Oryzias latipes: one gene and its partner. The protein of the gene in region 1 binds, or shares a complex with, the protein of each later gene. Links are inferred from orthologs where the notes say so. Each region holds a gene or a part of one and is shown in the gene's direction. Other genes may lie near its edges.

Evidence for each region. Proteins that work in one complex are often made in the same cells at the same time.
Region 2: the proteins of g3bp1 (region 1) and caprin1 are in contact, whole or in part, in a crystal structure (PDB 8TH7), measured with the Homo sapiens proteins. The link is inferred for Oryzias latipes from reciprocal best matches to the Homo sapiens genes G3BP1 and CAPRIN1. Residues at the interface, in NP_005745.1 of Homo sapiens: Glu4, Lys5, Pro6, Ser7, Leu10, Val11, Glu14, Phe15, Arg17, Gln18, Thr21, Leu22, Met29, His31, Arg32, Phe33, Tyr34, Gly35, Lys36, Gln58, Lys59, His62, Leu114, Glu117, Asn122, Lys123, Phe124, Tyr125; in NP_005889.3 of Homo sapiens: Met363, Gln365, Met366, Gln367, Gly368, Pro369, Tyr370, Asn371, Phe372, Ile373, Gln374, Asp375, Ser376, Met377, Leu378.

Annotation. Positions count from the first base shown.
Region 1 is NC_019868.2:28,987,709-28,991,460, forward strand, and holds the start of g3bp1 (ras GTPase-activating protein-binding protein 1), read left to right. Parts: upstream 1-929; 5' UTR 930-1,056; intron 1,057-3,751; 5' UTR 3,752-3,752. UniProt on the Homo sapiens protein: Protein involved in various processes, such as stress granule formation and innate immunity. Plays an essential role in stress granule formation.
Region 2 is NC_019864.2:14,863,914-14,867,665, forward strand, and holds the start of caprin1 (caprin-1), read left to right. Parts: upstream 1-1,141; 5' UTR 1,142-1,292; intron 1,293-2,291; coding exon 2,292-2,456; intron 2,457-2,574; exon of another isoform or gene 2,575-2,576; coding exon 2,577-2,639; intron 2,640-2,733; coding exon 2,734-2,820; intron 2,821-3,607; coding exon 3,608-3,752. UniProt on the Homo sapiens protein: mRNA-binding protein that acts as a regulator of mRNAs transport, translation and/or stability, and which is involved in neurogenesis, synaptic plasticity in neurons and cell proliferation and migration in multiple cell types.

The DNA of each region.
Region 1 (3,752 bases):
TGTTTAAAACGTCTTCCAAACAGTGGGAAAAGTAACCTTTTAGGGCTGCAGCAAACCTGTGCCGAACATGCAGTCCTCTCAGAGCAAACGGCATCCGGCAGCGACCGCTCACAGCTGCTCGTGGTCCCCTGGGAGACGGCAGAGGGAGAGACGCAGCACCCAGTTACCATCTGTACCTGCTCATCCAGCCCTCAGCAGCAAGAATGCACAGCGGCGTGAACCCAGCGTGCCCCAGCAGGAAAAACTCCCCCTGACTCTGACAGAGGAAACAACGGAAGACATCTGTAATTTAATATCAGCTCTTTTTTTTTTTTAAGCTGATGTCTCTGTGCTGACATCATGACAGCCATATTGTGGTTTGAGGCTCAAACATCTGCAGCAGTTTAGTCATGGGATCAGTAGCTCTATGTGTTTAGTTTGTCTTTTTAAAAGATGACTAAAAAGATGAACTTTTCTTTTTCTTTAGTGCACTACACGTTTTTCTTTAGTGCACTACAGGAGCAGACATTTTTCCAGTCTGCTCTGACTGTCTGCAGTCATTTCAGTCTCAATGGCGTTACATTTACCCACCTGCTTATTTTAAAGCTAAAGCACTCTCGCATTCGAACCCCTTTGATTGATGACGGTGGATAATTCTGGATGAAAAATTCACGGCGACCTAAAATCACTGATTCTGAACGCATTTGTCGCCTCCACGCGGTGGACAGCCGCTGGTGCACATCTGTGTAGAGAATCTGCCGGGATACGCCTGTCGGTATAACCATCGCACCCTCTGCCACCGCCGCGCGGTGGTTGGCTCCCTTGGAATAGAGGGAGCTTCGCGATTGGCTGGATGCGCGGGAGGCTTGCCATTCTCTCACCCCATTGGTCAGCGGGTCGTGGATGCGTCATTTCATTGGCTGAAGCTTCTTTATACGGAGGGACGTCAGATTTGGCTGCGGAGGTGAAACCGGTACCCGGGCTCTACAGCACGCCGCGAAGCCGCGCCAGCGCCTCGTCGAAGTCCATAGATTAAAAAATATATTTATACATTTTCCAAAAACTATTGACTCATTGGTAAGTTTTAATGTCAAACCTACTGTTTGAATCCAGGCAGAAAGTGAAACTAGAATGAAAATAGGATTAACGTGGTGGCTCATCCGGGCTCCATCTACATCCTGATGTTAGCTTCCTTTGACATTGTCGCGCGGTCTATAGACGGACGCGCTGAAATCCGATTTAAACGTTTATACTTGCTTTTTAATCGCGATCAGAAGTCCGGAATGGGTTTTTTCCGACATATGTATGAAATTGTTGCTGTTACAAATCACCCACGACGGCTTGGTTTTACTCTGAGCTGCAGGAATTAGCCGCAGCCCTCGTTAGCACACCCCCCCCCCCCTCTGGTTTTTCCAGCTTTCTTTCCTTATTTTTCGTGGGGTAAATTCACCTTTTCCCTAAACAGAGTTAGCTTCGTTTCTACGCGTCTTTGGATGTTAAAAGCGTCATTTTGTGGCCTCGGCGTCGGGATCGGAGCGTGGACGAGCACCGCCCGGGACACGTGCTGGGGCTGCTGAGCGCCCCCCCCCCCCCCCCCCCCCCCCGTCAGAATTCGTCTTTTGGGGTTGGTGGGCCCGTCCAGCTGTCCCGGATTAGATCGGAATGGACCAGGACAGCGCACGACACGTGAATCCCGGTTAAATTTGTCAAGGCCTCGGGGGCGCGTGTCAGCGCGGTCCCGGAAAGAGAGCGCGCGGGTCGGCCGTTTCCGTCGCCGTTCCCGCGGCGTGGTCTTTGTCTGCGGGCCGCGCGTGCAGATCTCCACGCACTTCTGCGGAAGCACGTTAAATGATTGGTCCCGTCTATGTTAGGCCCCTCGCGGATCAGACCCGCGTGACTGCGGGAGCTCCCGGGCCGTTCCGTGTTAAAAATGGCAGATGGCTGTTGGCCGTGAGAACAGATGTCAAAGTGGCTCGTGGCCTTCTGGGCTCAGAGCTTCACCTTTCCCTTCCAGGTCCTCCAAGCCAACAGTTTCCGGTTCTGTCAGCAGAACCTCTGGTGTATTTGAACCCAGATCCGCTTTATGGTGCTGAACTGAAGTGGGAAGAGAAGAATGTGCGTCTGTGGCGGCACGTCTGCTCCCTGAACCGTCCCTCCTGGTTTGTCCGTGAAACCCACTTGACAGAATAGAAGATCAACATCTTCTGATTGGCTGATCCCTCCTGATCCAGGATCATGGCCATGTGCAAAACATCAGGAATATCCTGGAAACCCGGAAGAACCCGTCACTGCCGGGGGGGTCAAACCCTGTAGAATCGTGAAAGCGCTTCCAGGTTCAAGTGGGGATGTATTAAACCCAAAGAACTGTTCAATTAGAGAATCCGGTTTCATCAGGGCAAGATGATCTAATCCACTTGCAGATGAACTCTGGTGTGGTTCACTTCAGTGTAAATGCAAACTGATCGTCCTCTGATTATGGAGAGGCAGGAAGGTTCACTTCTGGCTCAAACCCATTGAAGGAATTCCAGTCGCCTTCTTGTTGTCTTTTTGTGAAACGGACGGCGCCATGTTGGAGGCAGACGTAGAGTTGATCTGAATTGATCGGTGTTTCTATGGCAACCACTCTAAGTGTCAGACTCCAGGCCTCGTTGGCCTGTGTCCCACATGTCTTCCCATCAACTTGAAATTGAAGCTCCTTATTGGCTAAACACACCTGATTTCTGAAAAACCTGCTGGATAACGGCCCTTAAGGCCTGCAGTCTGACTCCAATCAGGAGTGAGCTTGTTGGAAGGCCACGCCCCCACCCATGAAAGCAGGCTTCTTTGGTTTGTGGTTTTGGGATCCCATTTGAAAGATCCTGGTCCATCCTCCATAACATGTAGAAATTCTGGTGACACTTTTCTTTTAGTGAGAAAATAACGACACATTTCTGCTATCTGGTACACATGTATTACATTTATAGGCTTTTTCTACAGAGGAGGATTTCTCTCTTTGGTGTTGAAATTTGCTGATTCAGACTGCGGCTGCTGGTTGCATGATGCTGGAGGATGGTCTCTAACCTCATTCCACATCAGACGGGGGGGGGGGGGGGGGGGGGCATTGTTACTGCACTCGTCCCCTTCCTGGGAAATCATGGCTAATGCTCGCGTAAACAAGAATAAATGCCTCATCTGCAATACTTAAACATTTTTCTTATTTTCTATTCAACGGTTGCCATGGCGTCCAAATACACAATCTGAAACATCTGGGGGGGGGTTTCCCCCTCGTGTTGTGGACCTGGAGCCGTTTCCTGGATCCGAAGTGACTTCAGAACCGTCGCTCACTCAGTCACAGGTTTCGGTTGGTGTGACATTGATCACTCTGGATGAACGTCAGCGATGAAATTCTTTTGTTCTGCTACCTTTGCTAATAAAGGTTTGTTTGAAATTCTCTACTACATTTGAGTGGGAAGCTCGTGTTGCACCTTTTTTCAGAAGTTTCCCCACATTTGGTTGATTAGGGTTTTGTAAGTTGTCGCCAGAGCAACAGAAACATTAGCTAAAGATGAGTCATTTTGCAGCAGTTGTTTAACTTTCCATTTCACGCTCGCTTTGTCCACCCAACGCTTGTTGCCCCCATGCTGCCGTTGGTTCTTGTGGGCGTGGCAGACATCAGCTGTGAACCATGAGATTCTTTTTAGAGGTTCATTGGTCGCTGGGGAGGGCTGTGGGGCTCCCCCCCGCCTGGATAACCACCGCAGCTCAGACGCTCCCTTCTGTTCTTTCTCTGCAGA
Region 2 (3,752 bases), on another chromosome or scaffold:
ATTTGGGGGACCAGTAAAAATTAAAAAATATTTTAAAGGAAAATATGTCATTTCCAGAAGCAAAAAAGACAATTGCAAGGATATTTCACTGACTGAAAGGTGAATGTGATTATTTTTTAAACATTAACCAGTAAAGTTAGCTTTTATGTTTTAAAAACTAAGAATTTATTAGGCATAAAACCAATGCAATGACTACACTAAGGTAGCGGGTCAGTTTGTCCAAGATTAAAGTCCTTTCTAGATGTTTAATTAATTTATGTTTGCAGATTTCTAGCTTCAGTTTCATCACATACCTAACTCACACTCACAAATTTGTGAAACTTTTTGACTTCGACATTGCATTAAGTGTAACTGATTTGTTTCACAGTCAAACTTGAAACGTCTCCCTTACCCTCACAACAAATCCTTTTTGTCACACACAGGATGGTCTTTTTGCTCAACAGTATTAATCATAATTATTTGATTAATACTGACTCACATTTCAAAATAAAATTTTGTAGGCCTACTCTGTTTCTTCCTTAAAAAAATTGTTCTTTAAAGTAGTGTCTGTTTTAGTAAGTTTAATTGCATGTAATATAAACAAGCTGATTTTGTGTCTGTTCTTTTGAAGTATTATTTGTATTTTTTTTAACTTTATTGTACAAAACGTAAGTACAATACAAAACACAATTTTGCAAAATAATCTTCAGATATGCCAGGGGAGCATACATATTACATGCATTTTACATAAAAACATTCAGGTTTCTACAACATTCATACATAACAACATAACAACAAACATACAGTTTTCTGGTTAAGGCTTTTGGAGATGTTAATGAGATAGATTTCAATTTGTTTGATTAAGACAGGGGGGGAAAATAGAAGATGAAGAAAATTTGCATTTTTTATTTGTATGTTGTTGAGAGGGTCTTTTTAAAAGGCTATTCAAAATTATGCCTGATAATAAACGTTAGCCTAAAACACGTATTTGCTTCCTATTTTATTTTTATAATTTAGGGTTAATTTTTTTGTATATTCATTTGAAAGTTTATTTCATAAATAGCTGAAATATCTAATTTTTAGAGAATTATTTTTGTTAAAATGTTTAGGCAGAACTTAGACAGCTAAAATAGGACCATAGCCTTTATAAAGAATTTCTCCGTCTTTCGAGCCGTCTCAGTTGTCGGTGAGGCCGGCGGGGCGGATCCCACACCAGAGTTAAAGAGAAAATAAAGCAACACAACAAAAATTACAACTTGGCCTTTTTATACAGTTCTCCATCAAGCTCCCCTGTGGATTTATATAACTGCAAGGTGGGTGAATAAAGGCTTGGGGGGCCGCGAAAAAGGGCTCCTGCTTTGCTCTAAGTTCGCACGCGTTATCAGACCTGCAGCTAGCAGTGCGCGAAAATGCTAAGTCAGTGGTGGGTGTTAACTAGTTCGGCCATGGCCCTACCTCAGAACTGCGAGAAACACCGGTTCACACCCCGGTGAACTAATAACAGAAACAATCAAACAAGAACATAAAATCATCAAATTTAAATTAATGTACGAATGAAATCCAATGTATGAGCTTAGTCACAGTTGGTGCTAAAGTTTGTCGGTTAGGTAGTCGTGCAGTAGTTTCGGGGCCTTCCGATTACCAATGATAACAGAAATAATTTATGAATAGAAAACTTGTGTCACGCTGGATGAAAATCCAGATTTTCTTGAAAATACAGTTAGATCTGTTCTTCCTGGCAGTGTTGCAGTCGGTTTTAATCAGCTAACGCATCTGTTGTTAATGTACTTGTTCACACCAATCTCTGTCACAAAACAACATCATGCGATCTTAAAAATTTGTTAGTCTGGTAGAAAATCTCTTTAAACTAGTTTAGTAGCGTGACACGTCTTTGAGCTATGCCAAGAAAAAAAAAATCCAGGATCATTGAACATTTACATTAATAAATCTTATAGATACATTGACTAAATAATAGTTGAGGATTGTTTCAGGACGCAGAGGTAAAAAGGCAAAGGTGCCCTGAAGATTCTGCAAAAGTGAAACTGATACTTAAAATGTGTTGAACTTTTTTTTTCCCTGAATGGAGGCAATGGAAAGTTGGTGCAGAACTTTTGTGAGAAAAAAAATCCAATAGAACAGAATCCAAAGTAGTGTTTAGAAATACTTTAATCTTATTGCACTTTTTATTGCTCTTGTGCAGATTGTGGTTTGCATTGTCTATTATTTCTTTTCTGGCGTGTCTTTATGTACAAATAACACCTGACTTTATAATTGAGATTTCTTTTTTTTTTTTTTTTTTTTTTTACTTCTAGATGCCCTCTGCAACAAATGCAAATACCCCAGTGCAATCTGCCAGCCCAGAGGTGGGATCCGCTCCAGGCTTAATGGGCAGTTTTGCACAGGGTGGACAGTCAGAAGTCTTGAAGCAGGTGCTGTGCATTATTGACAAAAAAGTCCGCAACATGGAGAAAAAAAAGGTGAGCCTTTTTCTTTAAATGGCTGGTGGGTACCCTCACCGGACAAAAAGTCCAATAGTTTAATAAGAGTGCCTTTGTAATATCTGAATATTCATTTAATTTATTTTTCTTTTATTTTAGAGCAAATTAGATGATTACAGTGTCAAGAAGAATAAAGGAGAAGGTCTGAACCAGGACCAGCTGGTGGGTTTGTTGAAGTCACAGATTTTCCTCAATAAAATCTTTTAAATATTTCGCACAAATTTAATTCTTGACCTTTAATCTTCATCTGTTTTAGGAGGCCCTCTCTAAATACCAGGAAGTAATGAACAACTTGGAATTTGCCCGAGAGTTGCAGAAGACTTTTATTACTCTGGGACAAGATGTAAGGACGACAAAGATCAGAATACAAAACTCAATTTGGTCATTAAAAAATTGTTAATATTGAAATGAGCCAAACTTTTCAGTAGTTTAGTTCAGTGACAGCCGAGTGCATTCCGACACCTTCAAGTGTTGATCCCTGTCTGAACTTTATACGCATTAATGTGATCCATACAATACTTTGTGGAAAAAGATGCATCAGGCCATTCATTTAAAATTAAAATCGTGTCCAAAATTGTTGTTTTGGGGACAAATAGTTAATAATTTATAGCAGATTTGTTGTTGTTTTTTTAAATGTGTTGGTACCAACCAATTAACATTTAAGGTTTAGTTTTTGCTTGAGATTATAAATTAATATTGTAACTGTATTTATCAAAACTAGTTGAGCACAAAGCAGTATAACTGCAAGATTCAAGTTCATTTTTACGGCAAACTCCAATTATGGTTCGTCTATCTTGAAGAAGTTGATGGGATTTATGGGCAGCTCTTAGATTATTGGTAACAGGGAGGTTTTTGCCTAAAATCCGATTTAAAAAGCAATCCTTCTACGTAATTGAATTGACTGTCATTTAGCCTGACAATATGGTGAACAGGTCGTAACTGTTTGATATTTTCATTGACATATTGAAATGTCATCTGGAAAATTAATAGAAAAATGACCAAGTTTTGGTTTTAATCAAACTGCTGAGGCATCCGTTTATTGTTATGCTTCACTTGAAAAAGTCGGGCAGATGCAGCCATCTGGACCTTTACCAATCTAACTTTAAGTGGCTTGTGTGCTTGACGGTCAGATCCAGAAGGTGGTGAAGAAGTCTGCGCGGCGGGAGCAGCTGGTGCGAGAGGAGGCGGAGCAGAGGAGACTCAAGACGGTTCTAGAAGTGCAGTTTATCTTGGACCGGCTGGGCGACAGCGCTGTGCGGCAGGACCTGAAACAGG